Linked DNA regions of Arabidopsis thaliana. The main gene of each other region encodes a partner of the protein of the gene in region 2 in a complex. Each region holds a gene or a part of one and is shown on either strand. Other genes may lie near its edges. A codon is read from its position in the direction of its gene.

Region 1 (8,450 bases), on a different chromosome or scaffold from region 2:
CCTTCACTTCCTTAACATTCTTCGTCTTTCGTCCTTTCGCTGCAGGCTTCTTCTCAACGGCCGCATCCGTCACCGGCGCATCCGCAGCGGTGTTTCCTTCGATCGTAGCAGCGTTCTCTATTTCCACCTCTGACATCGTCTTCTGAACTTAAGATCGGAAAATTTGATTGCAAGAAAGCGTAAATGTAATTTCGAAAGTGATTATGAGGATTGTGAAGAGGATCATTGGAAACGTCCGATTTATATAGTTAGATGTGTATTAGACGGCAATTCATATCTGGCTTCTGATTGGTTAAAACAATGACTACGCGGATCGCTACTCTTTTCTCAGGTTTGAATATTAATCGTTGGATCAAATTTTATCGACGGCAGAGAAAGAAGGAGTGTAGATGGTGGGATGAGTAAGTTAGTGGATGTGGATTAGATGCTTTGGTCATATTTGTTGTGCTTTTAGACTCGATTCATTTGACCATAACTCGTGATATACTCGATGAAATTCGTTTTTGTTTTTTGCATTGTGTAGAAAATTCTGTGAGGGTTCGTTTGATTATCTAAACGTGAAAAATGGATTATTTTGTAATGAGATATTCGGTTATGAAGCAAGATATGTCAAAACTATTGTTTTTCTTGCTAGTATTACAGTATATTTGGTTTTTCGAATAATGCTAAAGAGAATTTCGATGAAAATTATGTTAATATGAAACTTGACTAATCAAGGAGTGAACCGAACCAATAAACGTGGGATTTCAATTACTTTTTGATCCAAAATCATTTGAATGAATACTACCTAAGATGACCATCCTCTAGAATATGTTGCACACTACTTGTTGATGTGTCATGTGTCTATGTTAAAAAGAGTCCGGATTATTCATAGATTGTGATTTACTAGTTTAAGTATGTAATCAACCAATTTTAATTGATATTAAAACACATGTATAACTTTCCTTTAGTTATGATGCATAGATTACGTTTCTTAAGAGCAACACATGTACAAGGTCATCCGAGAGGCAATCTAGTCTAGGTGCAATCTCTTCAATGATTTTTTTTTGTTTTCTTTTGGATATCGTTAAGCATCATGGCTATATGTAAAGCATGAATTAAAAAGAATCTGTTAAATTGCATACTCGTAACATTTTTTGAACATCATAACAATTTGTTATATAAATATGTTACTCATATTAAGCATGATGGTTGTCACCACATAGTGGTACTCACGATAACACAAAATAGTGATAATGAACTTCATTCGTCTTTTGTCAGATAAGTTTTATGTAGTTAATTTGGTAGTTTTCTACCTCCATATAGGTCATCACAGTTCTACTACATTCGTCATCCACAGTCAACACTTGAACAGTAATTCTTGAAAACCTTAGTTTCCATAGAAATGATGTAGTACCCAAATAAATGCATATAAATCAATCTAAAACATCTTAAACTACAACATTTGATTAGAAAGTGACAACAATGTTACATGCAAGTCCAGAGAGGACACATAGTAGAAGAAGAAGAAAGAAAAGGGAAACAAATTTTGTATTTTCTTGCACAGAAAAGCGACTCATGAGTGTATATTTCGTCTATAGAAAAAAATATTAATACTAATTTCACAACACATTCGACTGCTCCTGTAGTTCTAGTAATGTTCTCTCTTGTAATGCTTTGAGAGATTCCATAAACCGAAAAGAAAAGATTACCCTGTCTCCACAGAATCTTCTTCTGCAACAACATGAGTCTTTAAAGTCCTTTACATGTTGCACTCTGGTAGCTTCCGAGCATAGACAAGAACCATCGTAAAATCCTTTGCAGAAGAACCTACCAATGCAGCAAACCGTTGGTGGTTTGAACTTTTCTGGAGCCATAGATCCACTAAATTGTAAAGCGTCAGCGTTGGGATCACCGCTTCTCCCATACACTTTATCTCTATCTGAACATAAACCATAAGTATGTCCATTTTTTATCAACCAAACATATAAGTTCCATTATATTCAAACGTTCTATCCTTTCTCGTGCCATAGTGCATATAAAGACCCTTACCTCATTTTCACTCTCGAGATCTAGCTTCCTCATGAGGTACTTTTGGATGAAAGAAACTGTTGTATTTCCATCCCTATCACAGAATGAGACATTGGATTATCTTCCCCAACAAAAGAATTCCTCATAACAGAAAAATGAGGGACTATGTAAGATGCAGCGACAACACAGGATATATAAAACAAAGAATACCTAAACTGTAACCTACCTTATTCTCAAAAAATTTGCTGGAATTTGAGGTAAAGAAGTTCCTCCTTCCCTGTAACCAGTAAGCCCTTGTCAATATACCAAGAGAAGAGAAACAAAATGAAGAAAGAGAGAAAGATCATGAAAGGAAATAGTTTCAGATATGAGAGCAAAAATCTCACTGATCATTGGACGCCACAAGTGAGAACCAAACGGGACCATTTCTCCTCTCCTGTTTTGCACTTGACTCATCTGGTTGTGGCAAATTCCTTGAATCGCCTAAAGTGGTGGCAGACCTTTTGCGTTGAGTTGTACGCATTCTTTTAGGAGTAACAGTTTCTGATGTTGTAGGATCACCATTATTACTCTTGTCATCCTCACGTTTACATTTTCTCTTTTTATTCTTAGTTTTGGTTTTACTCCCTTGAAATTGATTGCGAGATACATTCGCGTGCTCAGATTTTGAACCTGACCCTTGAGAAGCAGAAGACTTCAAGGGCTTTGTCCCATTTGCCACTTCAACCAGAAAGTTCAAAGGTTTCCAATCCATTTTGGAATCCCAGGGTTCATCACCATCCTTGTTTTCTTTATTGGAGATGGACTCTTTACATGACTGCAAAAAACAAAATAACTCAAATGAATGTGAGACCAATAACAGTATCAAATATTTTTACTGAATATTTACTTTTGAAGTGTACCAAACAAAAATAAATATGTAACCAAATCATGTCAAATATGAAGTCATTACGAGAAAATAGAGTAGTTCAGTGATCACCTTCTTTGACTGTCTTTTATTCTGAGTGAATTTGTTAAGAGTGTCGGGTGAGCTTGTGCTCTCCAGAAGCTCATCCCCAGAAGATTCTTCCTTCTTCACAGTTCTCTCAGCCAAAGAACCATTACGTAACTCTTTTCTTGTAGGTGCTTTAGTTCTTCTTCTCGTTGTTCCAGCTTGTGCTGACACCATAGGTGTGCTCACAACCAAAGAAGATATAGATCTCTCCTTCCTCTTTCCTGGTAAGGACACAATTCCAGGAGCTTTCACTTTTCTTCGTTTTAGAGCAAAGATTTTGGCCCTCAAGTCTTGCAAATTGTGGTCAGGCCTAAAACCATGCACACAAGTGGCTCCCATCAGTACAATAACGAGTAAGAAAAAGGAAAGTACAAAAGAGATCTATTTAGATTCTCCTACAACATCCTATAAATGGTCTCTCTCTCATAAAAACCATTGTGCTACGTGTATTAAATGAACAAGATTCCAGAGATTGTGTTATAGCAGTTCATTTCACCAACAAGAAAAGCAATTGGATTGAGTCCACAAATTAGATGAACAAGGAGCAAAGAAATTTAACCAAACTAAACCATATTTTGATGAGAACTGGTAGAGTCTGAAATACAGAACACGAATAGCTTACCTCAGCTTCTCCAATGGGGTGCTACCGAGGTCGATATTGCATACGGGACAAGTCTCTATCTCATCCTCCGTGATCTTCTCATAGATGCATTTCCTACAAACTGCGTACGAAAGTAATCTAAAAAGTTATTCCATTCCAGTAGATAGCAACTAACAACATGACTTATAATAAATGTGAGCAAATTTCATACTTGGTATAAGAAAAAACTCAAATTGAATTGCATACAAGTAAGAAGCTGAAACCCACAAGGAAACTATACATGAAAATGCTGAATCAACTATCACTAGAAAGACGAAGAAGGAGAGATTGAAGCAGTCAAAATTGCATATTCTTTTTGGTCAACAAAAACTATTCATTGACCCACTTTTCAATTGTATCGATTATAGGACGAGACGAAGAAGACAGAGCTATAATATAATCATCCAAATTGAGAAGAAATCAAAGCCAATGTCAGCGAATTTCGAAACATTTGGTGGGTTAAAAAGAGGAACTGACATGTGTGGAGGCACTCGGAGATAGTGGTGGCGTCACGGAGGATATTGTCGCAGATAGAGCAGCTTAAGCATGCCCTCATCGTCTCCTTCTTCACCTTAATCATCATCTTTCTCTTTATCTGTTGGGCTTAATCACTCACAACGTGCTATCCCCAAAACTGCATGTGGACGAAAACGGCGAAGAAGTGTCGTTTCTTTCGCTCGGTCGCTGGTGATCTGAAGAATAAATGTTATGGTGCGAGAGAGATGGAAGAAGAATTGACGTACGATTCGGACAAGAAGTGGCCGTCGTCGTCTATTAAAATTTAAGAGACGCGATGTGTCACTTCTTTTTATTTTATTGGAACAAGGGTTTCTCTTTTTATCTTTGTGTTCTGTCTTAAGAGCTCTCTCGTCGACAAGAAAACGAGCGCTCAAAGACGTTTTTTTTTGGGTCAAAATCTTTGTGTTACTTTAATTAGGAAAACTAGGTCAAACATTCTTTATTTTGGTTAATCTAATTAGGAAAGAAGAGTTTTGTAAAAAAAAAAAGTTGAACGACATAAATTTCTTTTCAACTTTTTGGGTGAGAAATTGTTATTTGCTATCCTAATATTTTGAAAAGTAAATGATGGTGAACTCTTCATATTATAATCAGATGATGGTAAAAATGATTTGTATAACTATAATAATGGATTTCGTTTACATTAATCAATGAATATGGAACATTCGAATCAACGACCAAATGTAACGATTCGTCATTCGTATAATGGGGTACGAGATAACATCAGATAAGAGGTTTTGTTCCAAAGGGCCTGTAGAAGGCTTATGTACCCATTCGCTAATCGAAGCATGAAGGCTAATAAGGTTTCAAACTTTCAATATTGACACCTCGATTTTTAGTAGCATACAGATGAATGGTGATTAGGAAAAACAGAGAAATTTTCATATGTACGTATGTAGTTTTATGTGTCCTATGCTGATTAGTGTTTTAACCGACGTCAAAGTTAAGATTTTCGGCAACAATTTGATGATACACTAGCTAGCGATTTTGATCATTCAAAGCTTTGCGCATATTAAGTATCTTTATATGATACTGTCATGATTTATTAAACCGAGTGTTATGTACTCCATAATCTACCTCCACCATTTTACACATAATAAATGAAAAGACCCGTCGTTCCAATAGCGAATTAAGCAAATTGCCAACAACTTCATTAAATAAAGAAAAAACCCAAAATGTAATCTTACTTGGCTCAAAAAAAAAAAAGCATCCATAGTCAACGTTAACACCCATTTGACTTAGTTAAACATTTTTCGTTAACCAGTTAACATTTTTGTTGAAAAATAATGAACAGAATCGGCAAAAGTCATTTTTCGTTACAATTCTATTTATGCCATAATTTTTTTTGGCCGACATGCTAGATATCTTTTTCATAATAATAGGCTAATCATCCATTGATATGAGACTGAAGTTCCTTTCTTGTCTTCTAAGAGGAGGGAGGAAAAACTTTATCCACGTGTCTTCGTCTGACTGGTGATTGATAAAATTTGCAAAGAAGACTGATCACATTAAATTACTTACAGCTTCATCAACGGCATAATCACATGTCTTCACATGTACACCTGCCCGCACCTGATCCGCATCACTGCTTCCTTTCACCCTAATAACATTTGACATGTCAACACGAACACCCAAAAAACTATATACTATAAAGTTATAAACAAATTAATTCGTTCGACCAATAACATTAATTTAATTTTATAGAGACCTAACACAAATTAAACAATGATTATTTCTGTTAATTAAATATATATAAGTGAGCACAATCCCCCGATGATGCATGAAGAAGCTCTGAATCTAAAACTCCTCTCTCCGACCCCAAATCCAGAAATTCAAGCGAGGAATAGAATCTCCCACTAGAGAAAAGCAATCCCAGAAACCCTAAGTTCTTCACGTTTCGTTCTTTTGCTTGTTGATCAAGCAGGATATCTCCGAGATTTGTGAGTCTCTTGCTACTTCTTCCTGGAGAACGATTCAGGGTTTGATGTGATAAGAATAGTCATCGAGGAAGATAGATTTGGGGATTTTTTTTTATTTGTAGATTCATGAAACAAATTCGTCGATGGCAGAGGATTTTGATCCTCGCTCTGCTATCGATATCTGTATTCGCTCCGCTTATTTTCGTATCGAATCGGCTTAAGAGCATCACTCCCGTTGGTCAGTTTCGTCTCCTCTCCTTCTTATTTTCATTTCATTGTACTTGACGATCGTGTGGAAATGCTTGATTGCTTTGATTTTAGATTGATTCACATGAAATTCGCTTGCTTTTGTTAGAAGTTGTCTTGGTCTTGGGATTTTTTCATCTGACATTTGTTTTGATTTTCCATTGCCGATTGTCTTCTTGCAGGTCGTAGAGAATTTATTGAAGAGTTATCCAAAATTGTATGTGTTCCTTAGTCTTCAATCTCTGGATTCATCTGTTTTCAGCATGCTGTTGATTTTGTGCCAAGTTTTCAGATCTCAGTCTTGTTTTATCATTCTCTTTATGCTTTATATTTCTCGAGCAATACACTGTTGTTGACATGCTACCATTATTCTGCAGAGATTCACGACAAATGACCTTAGACTTAGCGCTATTGAACATGTAAGTTGGAAGTTACAGGTTCCTCTAGGTCATCTCCTTAAAACCTTTTGACCATGCGTTTTGTTGAAGTTTTTTCTCTCTGTGATTTAGGAGGATGGAGAAGGCTTGAAGGGGCCAAGGCTCATTCTCTTCAAGGATGGGGAGTTTAATTCGTCTGCTGAAAGTGATGGTGGTGGGATCATATTTTCAATCTTGCTTTGATTTGCTCTGATGTCATTAACTCCTCAGATTTTTTATCTGTCGTAATCATGGGTTGTAGGTAATACTTACAAAAACAGGGAAGAACAAGTGATTGTTTCACAGAAGATGACAGTTAGCTCTGATGAAAAGGTGTGTATATATAAATACAACTGATTTGAAGATAACATGAACTTGATCAGTCCAGCTGATATAAAGTAACATGAACTTGATGATTGCTCAGGGTATGGAATAACTCCGATATTGAATCCTAGAATCAGATTACAAGTCATTGCGGTCCATGTTGATTAGTTTATCTAAGGAATAGAAAAGCCAAGTTTCACTTTCCATCAAATTATTAGATGTTTCATGATTACAATTTATTGGGTTTTTTTTGTGTCAGGGTCAAATTCTACCAACAGTCAACCAACTTGCTAATAAAACGGATTTCAAGCCCCCTTTATCTAAGGGTGAAAAGAACACAAGGGTTCAGCCCGACAGAGCAACAGATGTGAAAACGAAGGAGATCAGAGACAAAATTATTCAAGCTAAAGCCTACCTGAATTTCGCTCCACCTGGAAGTAACTCTCAAGTTGTGAAGGAGTTGAGAGGTCGGCTGAAAGAGCTGGAACGGTCTGTTGGTGATGCAACAAAGGACAAGGACTTATCAAAGGGGTAAGCACAACTGCTTGATTCAAAAGGAGAACATACCATAATTGCATTCAGAAATTTGCTGTTACAACTACAACCTTTTAGTGCCAAAAGTCGTGCTGTTTAAGAATATTATTTTAGTAACCTCTGACATGATTGTTTCTTTCAGCGCTCTCCGCAGGGTGAAGCCCATGGAAAATGTGTTATATAAGGCTAGTCGTGTCTTTAACAATTGCCCTGCCATCGCTACCAAACTCCGTGCCATGAATTATAACACAGAAGAACAAGTTCAGGCGCAGAAAAATCAAGCAGCGTATCTAATGCAGCTTGCAGCAAGGACCACCCCAAAAGGGCTTCACTGTCTCTCAATGCGGCTGACATCAGAATACTTTTCACTGGATCCTGAAAAAAGGCAGATGCCTAACCAGCAAAATTATTTTGACGCTAATTTCAATCATTATGTTGTCTTCTCTGACAATGTTTTGGCTTCTTCAGTCGTTGTTAACTCTACGATATCTTCATCAAAGGTATCATGCATTTCTTATACAAATTTCTACTTGGTTATCATTATATGTTATACCTAATTTTAGAGTGTCTTACACTATATCTTCTCATTTACTTCCGCCACTTATTAATGTGGCTTCTGATTGCTGTTTGCAGGAGCCAGAAAGAATAGTCTTCCATGTCGTGACTGATTCACTTAATTACCCAGCAATCTCAATGTGGTTTCTGCTAAACATTCAAAGTAAAGCTACTATCCAAATCCTAAACATTGATGATATGGATGTCCTGCCTAGAGATTATGATCAATTACTGATGAAGCAAAACTCTAATGACCCAAGATTCATTTCTACACTCAATCACGCACGCTTCTA
Region 2 (7,880 bases):
ACTCGCTCTAGTTTCGAATCAATAAATTTTGTTGGTCATACCTATGCAGCAAATTCTGCTCAAGCTCAATTCTTTTTACATCTCTCTTATACTTCCAAGCTCAGTTTGTTTATATTGTTTTAGTTTGTTACTGAGTCAGTTATTGTTCAAATTCTTCTCTTATTTACTGGCTTTGTTAAGTAGATTGTCCTTTTTTTCTTAAGAACCTGTGTATTGTTTCCCACAGAAACAGCAGTAACATTGCATCTATTGGCCGCATCGCAATCCAGTCTTTTTGCTCTCCCCTGTGTGAGTATTCTGAAAAGGTAATTAGGAGAGTTTTCTGGAACTTTTAGCCTATATCAAGTCAACAATGCTTTCTAACGAAAATTCTCTTGACTCTATAGTTAATGATAGCTGAAGCTTGTACCAGTATCACGTCGTTATGTATTATATTGTTGATTTTTTGACATTTTGTTTCTATCAACACAGGAATCAGACATGCTCTCATTCATAAGATTGCTGAAAAGTATGCTTATGGTTTCAAATGCGGTAGCCATTGTTACTTTCCCGCCTTCCCTGCTCTCCCCATCTTCCTCTAAAAGACTGCAGCATATGGCAGATACCTTGCTCTCTATCAAAGCAATCCCAGGTTTGCTTTCCCTGATTTTCTTATTCATAAATAGATTATCATAGTTGTTTCTTGACAAGTATCCTTGCCTTTTTTTCCAGATGGTGACAAGGAATTGGAGAAACTCCTCACTGGCTACAAGGATATAAATGGATTCCTCAACATACACAAGGTTGCTCGTATCAACACACAGGTATTTACAAATTGTGTAATTCTCAATTTATATAGGGATATTATTACCCTGAAACCTGTAAGCAAGAACCCCTTTGTATTTTGCCAAGTCAAAAAAACATATTCAATGGATAAAAGTCTGATGAAATTCAAAATGTCTACTGAACAACTTATCCAGAAATCCCCATCTAATCCATTTTTCTCTCTTTTGATGAGAATGACATGAACTTGCTTAGAAACCGTTGAAAAAATGGATTCACTATGGTCCTAAACCACTGGTTTGATCTGAATTGTTTAATGGAACAGGTGCCTGTAATTCTTGAGGCAAAAACCTTCTCAATGAGCTTGAAGAAGAGAAGATTCTTGGCTCTAGAGTGTCTGAATCAAGCCCCTGTAGACGGGTCCAGTGGAACATCGTATGGCACATCTGGTAGCTGCTCATCCAAATCCGGAGCACTAGATTTTTGAGTTGCTGAGTTAGTCTTTCTTTTCTTCTTCTTAGTTTTTTTTTTTCCCTCTCCATTGAGTTCTCTAAGTTCACTCACTAACCTGAGCAGTTACATTATTATTATAGTCTTTGGTCTTAAAAACAGTTTTGACAGCAATATGTTTTGTTTTTATAATGAAATTTATTTCATTTCTGTATTATATATACTCTTATGAAACTATGACCAATGATAGATGCTAGTTACTAAACGTTCAATGTAATCACTTCAACATGTTCACGTGGTTATTTGTTGAACCATCCATATATATAACATATAAAGAAAGAAGGTGAGACATTGAATGAAGAGTTCAAAAATATGGTTGATCTATATTTGGTGCTCCTTTAATTCAGTGTTCCTTTACTTACCAACCAACGACCATATCATTTGAATTATTGCTCATAAATCTCTCTCTCTACCCAATCTCTTTATTTAGTACCCTATTCTTCTTGACTTTGTTTCTTTCCAAAGCTTATACAAGAGATATTCATTCTTAAACTAAGATTTTCATATATATTGAAAAAGAAAGAAAAGATTTCTCATCATTTTACTTTTTGGTAGAGAGCATTTCAAGTAAAAAATACTTTGAGAAACAAAAAGAGAAAACTAGTATGAGAAACAAATCCTTAAAAAAGGAAATAACAGTAATGCACGTGATGATATAACAAAAGGTTTTGTTTTGTTTGTTTTTTTATTGTTTTTTTCTTCTTTTATTTGTCTGTTATAATAATCAAAAAACAAGAAGAAAAAACGAGACGTTCATGCATTTAATCTCGCACCTTACGACAAAGAGTGAGAGAGAGGATCGCTCAGGTTTGTTCATCTTCACCGGACGATTAGCTTTTGCGGTGGGAGAAAGAACGGCCTGTCTTCAGCTCTGAAACAGAGGAACAGAGAGGTTAGGAAGGAGACAATGGTTGGACCCGCGCGGCCTCAGATCGTTTTGTTTGGATCTTCCATTGTTCAGATGAGCTTTGGCCATGGTGGTTGGGGCGCCATTCTTTCCGAGGTCTACGCTCGTAAGGTATCGTCAGATTCATCAATCTCTCTCTCTCTGTGGCTTCTGGATTCGATATTCATCCTTGGTTAGATTACTAGAGCGTTGATTCTACAAGTAGATCGCTTATTCTAATTACTCTGTATTATTTATTATTTTCCCTAACTATACATTTGTTCATTGAAATTCGTCTTTTGTTTTACGATTGTAAGCGTGTATTATGCGAACCATAATGTTATTTCTCCATTTGGATGTTATGTGTATAGGCCGACATCATTCTGCGAGGATATTATGGATGGAACTCTTCTCGTGCTTTGGAAGTTGTCGACCAAGTGTTCCCCAAGGTACTCTTTCAACTCCCTTTTTTTTTGCTTCTTCTCTCTTTAGACTATTAGTTTCTTCAATACTAGATTATGATAAAGATTCAGCGTTTTATAGGTCTTTATATTAGTCCGTATAGGTTGATGTGTGCTTATCATTTGACCTAGTAAGAATTCTTTGTGAACATTATTTTACTAGTTCAAAATGTACCCCAAAAGGATTACACAAGTGGCTATTTTAGTTGCATAGTCTTTGATTTAGCATACAAGACTCTGCATCTGTTTCAAGGGAGATGTCTCTGTTTAAGCATAATCTGTTTCATCCGAGTTTTCTTGATATCTCAAGCTGTTTTCTCTTACCCATTATAAAAAAAATTTGGTAGAATGAGCTTAACTTTGTAGAAAACCATCATATTCAAAGCTTCTGTTTTCTTCCACTTTGTCGCCTAAAAATTGCAACTTGTTACGGATGCAGGATGCTGCAGTACAACCTTCTCTGGTCATTGTCTATTTTGGAGGAAACGACTCAATGGCGCCTCACTCGTCTGGACTAGGACCTCATGTACCACTTACTGAATATGTTGATAACATGAAGAAGATCGCTCTTCATCTTCAGGTTTATACTTCCTTTATAATTGTTAGATTTATTATTTATCTCCTGTCAGTCACGTTTAAAAGCCATTTCAAGTGCTAATTTCTTCCTCTATTTTCTGTTTCAGAGCCTTTCAGACTTCACCCGAATCATATTTCTTAGTTCTCCTCCAGTGGATGAGGCTAAAGTTCGCCAGAACCAAAGGTAACTTCCCTGAATTTCTTCACTATCTCTCTGTTTCTCCTTATTCTCTCCGGCCTTATTAATATAGATGTGCTTCTTTTTCTCTCACAAGCCCATACTTGAGCGAGGTAATCCGCACAAACGACCTCTGCAAGACTTATTCAGATGCTTGTGTAGAGCTGTGCCAAGAACTCGGCCTAGAAGTAGTTGATCTCTTCTCTACTTTTCAGAAAGCAGATGACTGGAAAACTGTTTGCTTCACGTAAGTATTTTTTGAGTTCTGAAGAAATATAGAGAGACCTTTGATATATATGACTTTCTCAGAGTTTCCAAATGCGATAACCGGGAATGGAGTATCGACGATGTTCATTGAAATGTTTTAACGGTATAGTCTGGTTTGTTACAGAGACGGGATTCATTTGTCAGCACAAGGAAGCAAAATAGTAGCGGGAGAGATACTAAGAGTGGTTAAAGAAGCGGAATGGCATCCATCACTTCACTGGAAATCAATGCCAACAGAATTCGCAGATGACTCTCCTTATGATCTTGTATCAGCAGATGGCAAACAGACAGTAAATTCTTCAGAATGGACTTATTTCTGGGAAGAACAATGGGACTAAACATTTCAACACACACAACAACAACAACAAGACCCTATCTTCACATAATTCACTGTCTTAATGTGATAAAGCTTTGCTTTAGATTGTTTACATTACAAGTGTCTCTGCTATAATCTGATTCAGTTTCGCTCGAAAAACGTTACCATTTTAAAGTTTATACTTATCTAAATCTTAAATCACAGAAACACACCAAGTTTGTGTTCAAGTAATTTCTTTTTTTCTTGTTTACATTTTACAGACATTAACAAATGTCTGAAACTCATCACATAACACTCCTCCAGACAGGGGTTTAGTGTTTTGAAGGTAAAATCACAAAGTAACTAAATTTGGGCCGATAACAAAAAAGTCGCTTAGGAGATTGGACTTATTTGGGCCTAAAACCTAACACTTAAGGGCCCAACTAAAATGCCATTTACCTAAAAAGCGACGCATCTTCGTCTACTACCAAACCTTTTCGCTGACGCAACCAAACTCCCAAAAATAAAAATAAAGTTTTTATTTTCTCTCTCTCTCTTATTTTTCTTCTCCTTCTTGTTCCGTCTGCTTCTCTCCATCTCCTTCCATATCTATTGTTCTCTCTCTCTTCATGCCCGAACGCATCGGGTCTCAAAAACCATTGATACAGACATCGATCCTTGTCAACTAGTACTGATCTATAAATCTTATAAAAATCTGTAGAGATATGGCCGCCGCAGCCGTTTCCTCTAACCCTCGCACCGTTGAAGAGATCTTCAAAGATTATTCCGCTCGTCGTGCCGCTCTTCTTCGTGCTCTCACTAAAGGTCTAAATCCTCTCTCTCTCTCTTTCTCTAAATTTCCCAGATTTCTTCGTAATGCCTTTGGATTCGTCCTTTAACTTGTTCGTTTTTGTGATTTTTTCCAGATGTTGATGATTTTTACTCTCAATGCGATCCGGGTATGAAAGATTTCGACTTTTAGATACCCTTTTATGTGTTTTATTGAGATTTGATTTCAATTTTTGGGTGTTTGTGGTTATAGAAAAGGAGAATTTGTGTTTGTACGGACACCCTAATGAGTCATGGGAAGTGAATCTACCAGCAGAGGAAGTGCCTCCGGAGCTACCTGAGCCTGCTCTTGGTATCAATTTCGCTAGAGATGGTATGCAGAGGAAAGATTGGCTTTCTCTTGTTGCTGTTCACAGTGATTGTTGGTTGCTCTCTGTTTCTTTCTACTTTGGAGCCCGTCTTAATCGCAATGAGAGGTATTTCTCTTTTTCCCAACATTTTGATTCTGCATTCTCATTGTTTTGTGTTTTCTTAAGCCATGTCTCCAACTTTTACTTGATTTCAATGGATTCTGTGTTGTTCTTACATGAAACCCCATAGTTGTTTTCCATCCTGGCTCTTCTCATGTGAAGTAAAAATTGAAACTTTGTGATGATGATGGAGTTCGTTTGGAATGAGATTGTCTTTGAATTTGCGTGAAATGAGTTTTGTTTTGTTTTGTTTTTTTCGCTATTCGTCATTCATATCTATGGAGTATTGTTTGTTGCATGACTTCATCTGTCTAAACTTTTTCTCAGCTCTTTTGGATATTGTAATGGCTAAACTTGAAACTTGATTATCCTCCCTAATTTTAAAAGCCTGGTATTTGCTATTCTATGAAATCTGAAAACGGATATTCTGTGGTCGCATGTGCTGAATTTCACCATTTCATTGTTACATCTGAACACCCATCTTAGTAACTATGGAATCCAAAGAACTTTACTGACAAAGGTTTTGTGAAAGTTAAATTTTGACAAAAAAAATTGCTATTTGATTAGTACTAATGAGATCATTTTACTGTCTGTCTGTCATATATTCTAGAAAACAATGTTATTTTGGTTATTATCTGTTTCATTGTTCTTCAAGAGAGAAGTAGTTGTTGGCATTTAGATAGGTTTCAATTAAAGGTGCAAGAAACTGGACTTTGTTTTCTCAACCAGTAGTTTCACTATACCATTAACAAGTCTCTAAAGTGATCCTCTACCATTTTAGTCCTCTATCTTATTTACACTAGACTAGTAAAAAGCATTTCGTAAGATGCATTTCCAAGGATAGAGAATTTAACCCGACAGAGCTGCAAACAAATAATGCTAGATAAAACATCACAATTGTGTGTTGTACTGATATGAAGATTCTGGTTCGTTTTTCCTCACTTTCGCTTGCTAATCTAGTTCTTAGCTTATCTTAGCTGCCTTTTTCAATGTGTTGTCCACTCATGGAGTTATATTATTCTTTTGATTTGCAGGAAGCGGTTATTCAGTCTGATCAACGATCTCCCAACTCTCTTCGATGTAGTGACTGGTAGGAAAGCCATGAAAGACAACAAGCCAAGCTCGGACTCAGGAAGCAAATCCAGAAATGGCACTAAGGTACACAAAATAAGGAGCCTCCTTTCTTCTTTTTTGTTATCTGGTTTCCCTCTTTGAAATCAAAAATCGTAATTAGCAGAGATCAATAGACGGGCAGACAAAGAGCTCAACACCGAAACTAATGGAAGAGAGCTATGAGGAGGAGGAAGAAGAAGACGAGCATGGAGACACTCTCTGTGGAAGCTGTGGAGGTCATTACACAAATGAGGAGTTCTGGATTTGCTGTGATGTTTGTGAACGTTGGTACCATGGAAAATGCGTCAAGATAACTCCGGCTAAAGCAGAGAGCATCAAGCAGTATAAATGCCCGCCTTGCTGTGCAAAGAAAGGAAGACAGTGATGCTGATCAATTGATGATGATGATGATGATGATCTCTCAGAGAGACTCTGGTTCTCATGTTTTAATCAATATGTTAATCAACTTTTTTTCTTTTCTTCTCTTTTTTTCTTTAACCTTCTTAATTTTAAAGCATACAAAACTCTCTCTTTAGATCTCAAGAAAGGGATTTCAAGAAGTTGAGGGAGAGAGTAGCAAACTGTTTGAATAATATTATTATTATTCATATTAAAAAAAAAAAAACTGGGTTGTGTCATCAATTGTGTTGTGTCATGGGGTTTGTATATGTTAGACTTAGTCAAATCTTTAAGCTTCGAACCGAATTTTGAACAAATATGTTTTTAATCTTCTGTTAGGTCTTTTATCTGTCTTAAGATATTGTTTTTCATAATTTTAAAGAATATTATTATCCAATATTATGTGATATGTCAAAGTGATAGTCTTCTCATTTGGCCGGAATTGTAAAGAGCCAACATGTTTTCCAAGTTCTAAAGGGCAAGTAAATGTGATCGCAAGCCTTAGAATTGGTAAGTTTTATAATTAACCATCAAGATTGTCACAAATCATCTCTAAATCCAAATCTAAATTTTTCAATCAAATTTGCGACAATAATCAAATATTTTTATTTTTTAAAAAAAAAAATACTATTTATTTAGCATCATACTCAATAAGAAATTCATGAAATGTTAATAGTTGACAATCGACTGAATTTAACTAAATTTTAAACTCATCGACTGAATATTTATTCGACGATAATGATTTGTAGCCTAGTGTTTTGGTTTGTGCTAATTAATGCATGTTGATGATAATAATAATAACAATGATCAATATTCAAAATCAATACAAATCAATTTATAAATGTGATCATGCATGTATGTAATATCAAGAAGGGCGATCCCAAGTAAAGCCAGCATGAAGATCACAAATTCACAATACAAAAATCTTAGTTTTGGGTATTCAAAGTGATATCCGTCCAATCTTCTTCGTAAACGTTACTTACAAGCTCCCCCAAGTCCCCAACTATATATGATAAAGAACTTAAATCGGATCTAACAAGATTCTGTAATACATGGTCAACACGAATTATCCTTTTTATATACATTACTTAATCTAATATGTGTACCATACTACCATCTTTAGATACTAGATATTTATTGCGTTCACATGTCCGTCATTTTGTTTGTCAATACT

What was found.
Region 1: the proteins of AL2 (region 2) and DRIP1 are in contact, whole or in part, in a crystal structure (PDB 5Y53), measured with the Arabidopsis thaliana proteins. Residues at the interface, in NP_187729.1 of Arabidopsis thaliana: Pro64 (codon at 5,034), Ala65 (codon at 5,037), Glu66 (codon at 5,040), Glu67 (codon at 5,043), Val68 (codon at 5,046), Pro69 (codon at 5,049), Pro70 (codon at 5,052), Glu71 (codon at 5,055), Glu74 (codon at 5,064), Leu77 (codon at 5,073); in NP_172162.3 of Arabidopsis thaliana: Thr279 (codon at 2,524), Gln280 (codon at 2,521), Arg281 (codon at 2,518), Lys282 (codon at 2,515), Arg283 (codon at 2,512).

What each region holds. Positions count from the first base shown.
Region 1 is NC_003070.9:2,077,481-2,085,930, forward strand, and holds DRIP1 (DREB2A-interacting protein 1), read right to left. Parts: upstream 4,618-8,450; 5' UTR 4,228-4,617; coding exon 4,122-4,227; exon of another isoform or gene 3,727-4,121; coding exon 3,627-3,726; intron 3,315-3,626; coding exon 2,990-3,314; intron 2,828-2,989; coding exon 2,397-2,827; intron 2,288-2,396; coding exon 2,237-2,287; intron 2,105-2,236; coding exon 2,032-2,104; coding exon of another isoform or gene 1,922-2,031; coding exon 1,742-1,921; 3' UTR 1,416-1,741; downstream 1-1,415. Other genes in the region: AT1G06760 (winged-helix DNA-binding transcription factor family protein), read right to left, coding at 1-136; GAUT6 (galacturonosyltransferase 6), read left to right, coding at 6,209-6,359, 6,511-6,545, 6,706-6,747, 6,838-6,919, 7,007-7,077, 7,328-7,599, 7,745-8,102, 8,236-8,450. UniProt on the Arabidopsis thaliana protein: E3 ubiquitin-protein ligase that acts as a negative regulator of the response to water stress. Mediates ubiquitination and subsequent proteasomal degradation of the drought-induced transcriptional activator DREB2A. Functionally redundant with DRIP2.
Region 2 is NC_003074.8:3,507,199-3,515,078, reverse strand, and holds AL2 (alfin-like 2), read left to right. Parts: upstream 1-4,420; 5' UTR 4,421-4,660; coding exon 4,661-4,760; exon of another isoform or gene 4,761-4,861; coding exon 4,862-4,894; coding exon of another isoform or gene 4,895-4,977; coding exon 4,978-5,200; intron 5,201-6,228; coding exon 6,229-6,352; intron 6,353-6,431; coding exon 6,432-6,692; 3' UTR 6,693-7,083; downstream 7,084-7,880. Other genes in the region: ELO1 (Paxneb protein-like protein), read left to right, coding at 227-305, 472-631, 712-803, 1,088-1,249; AT3G11210 (SGNH hydrolase-type esterase superfamily protein), read left to right, coding at 2,180-2,290, 2,530-2,607, 3,059-3,199, 3,303-3,379, 3,471-3,620, 3,765-3,978.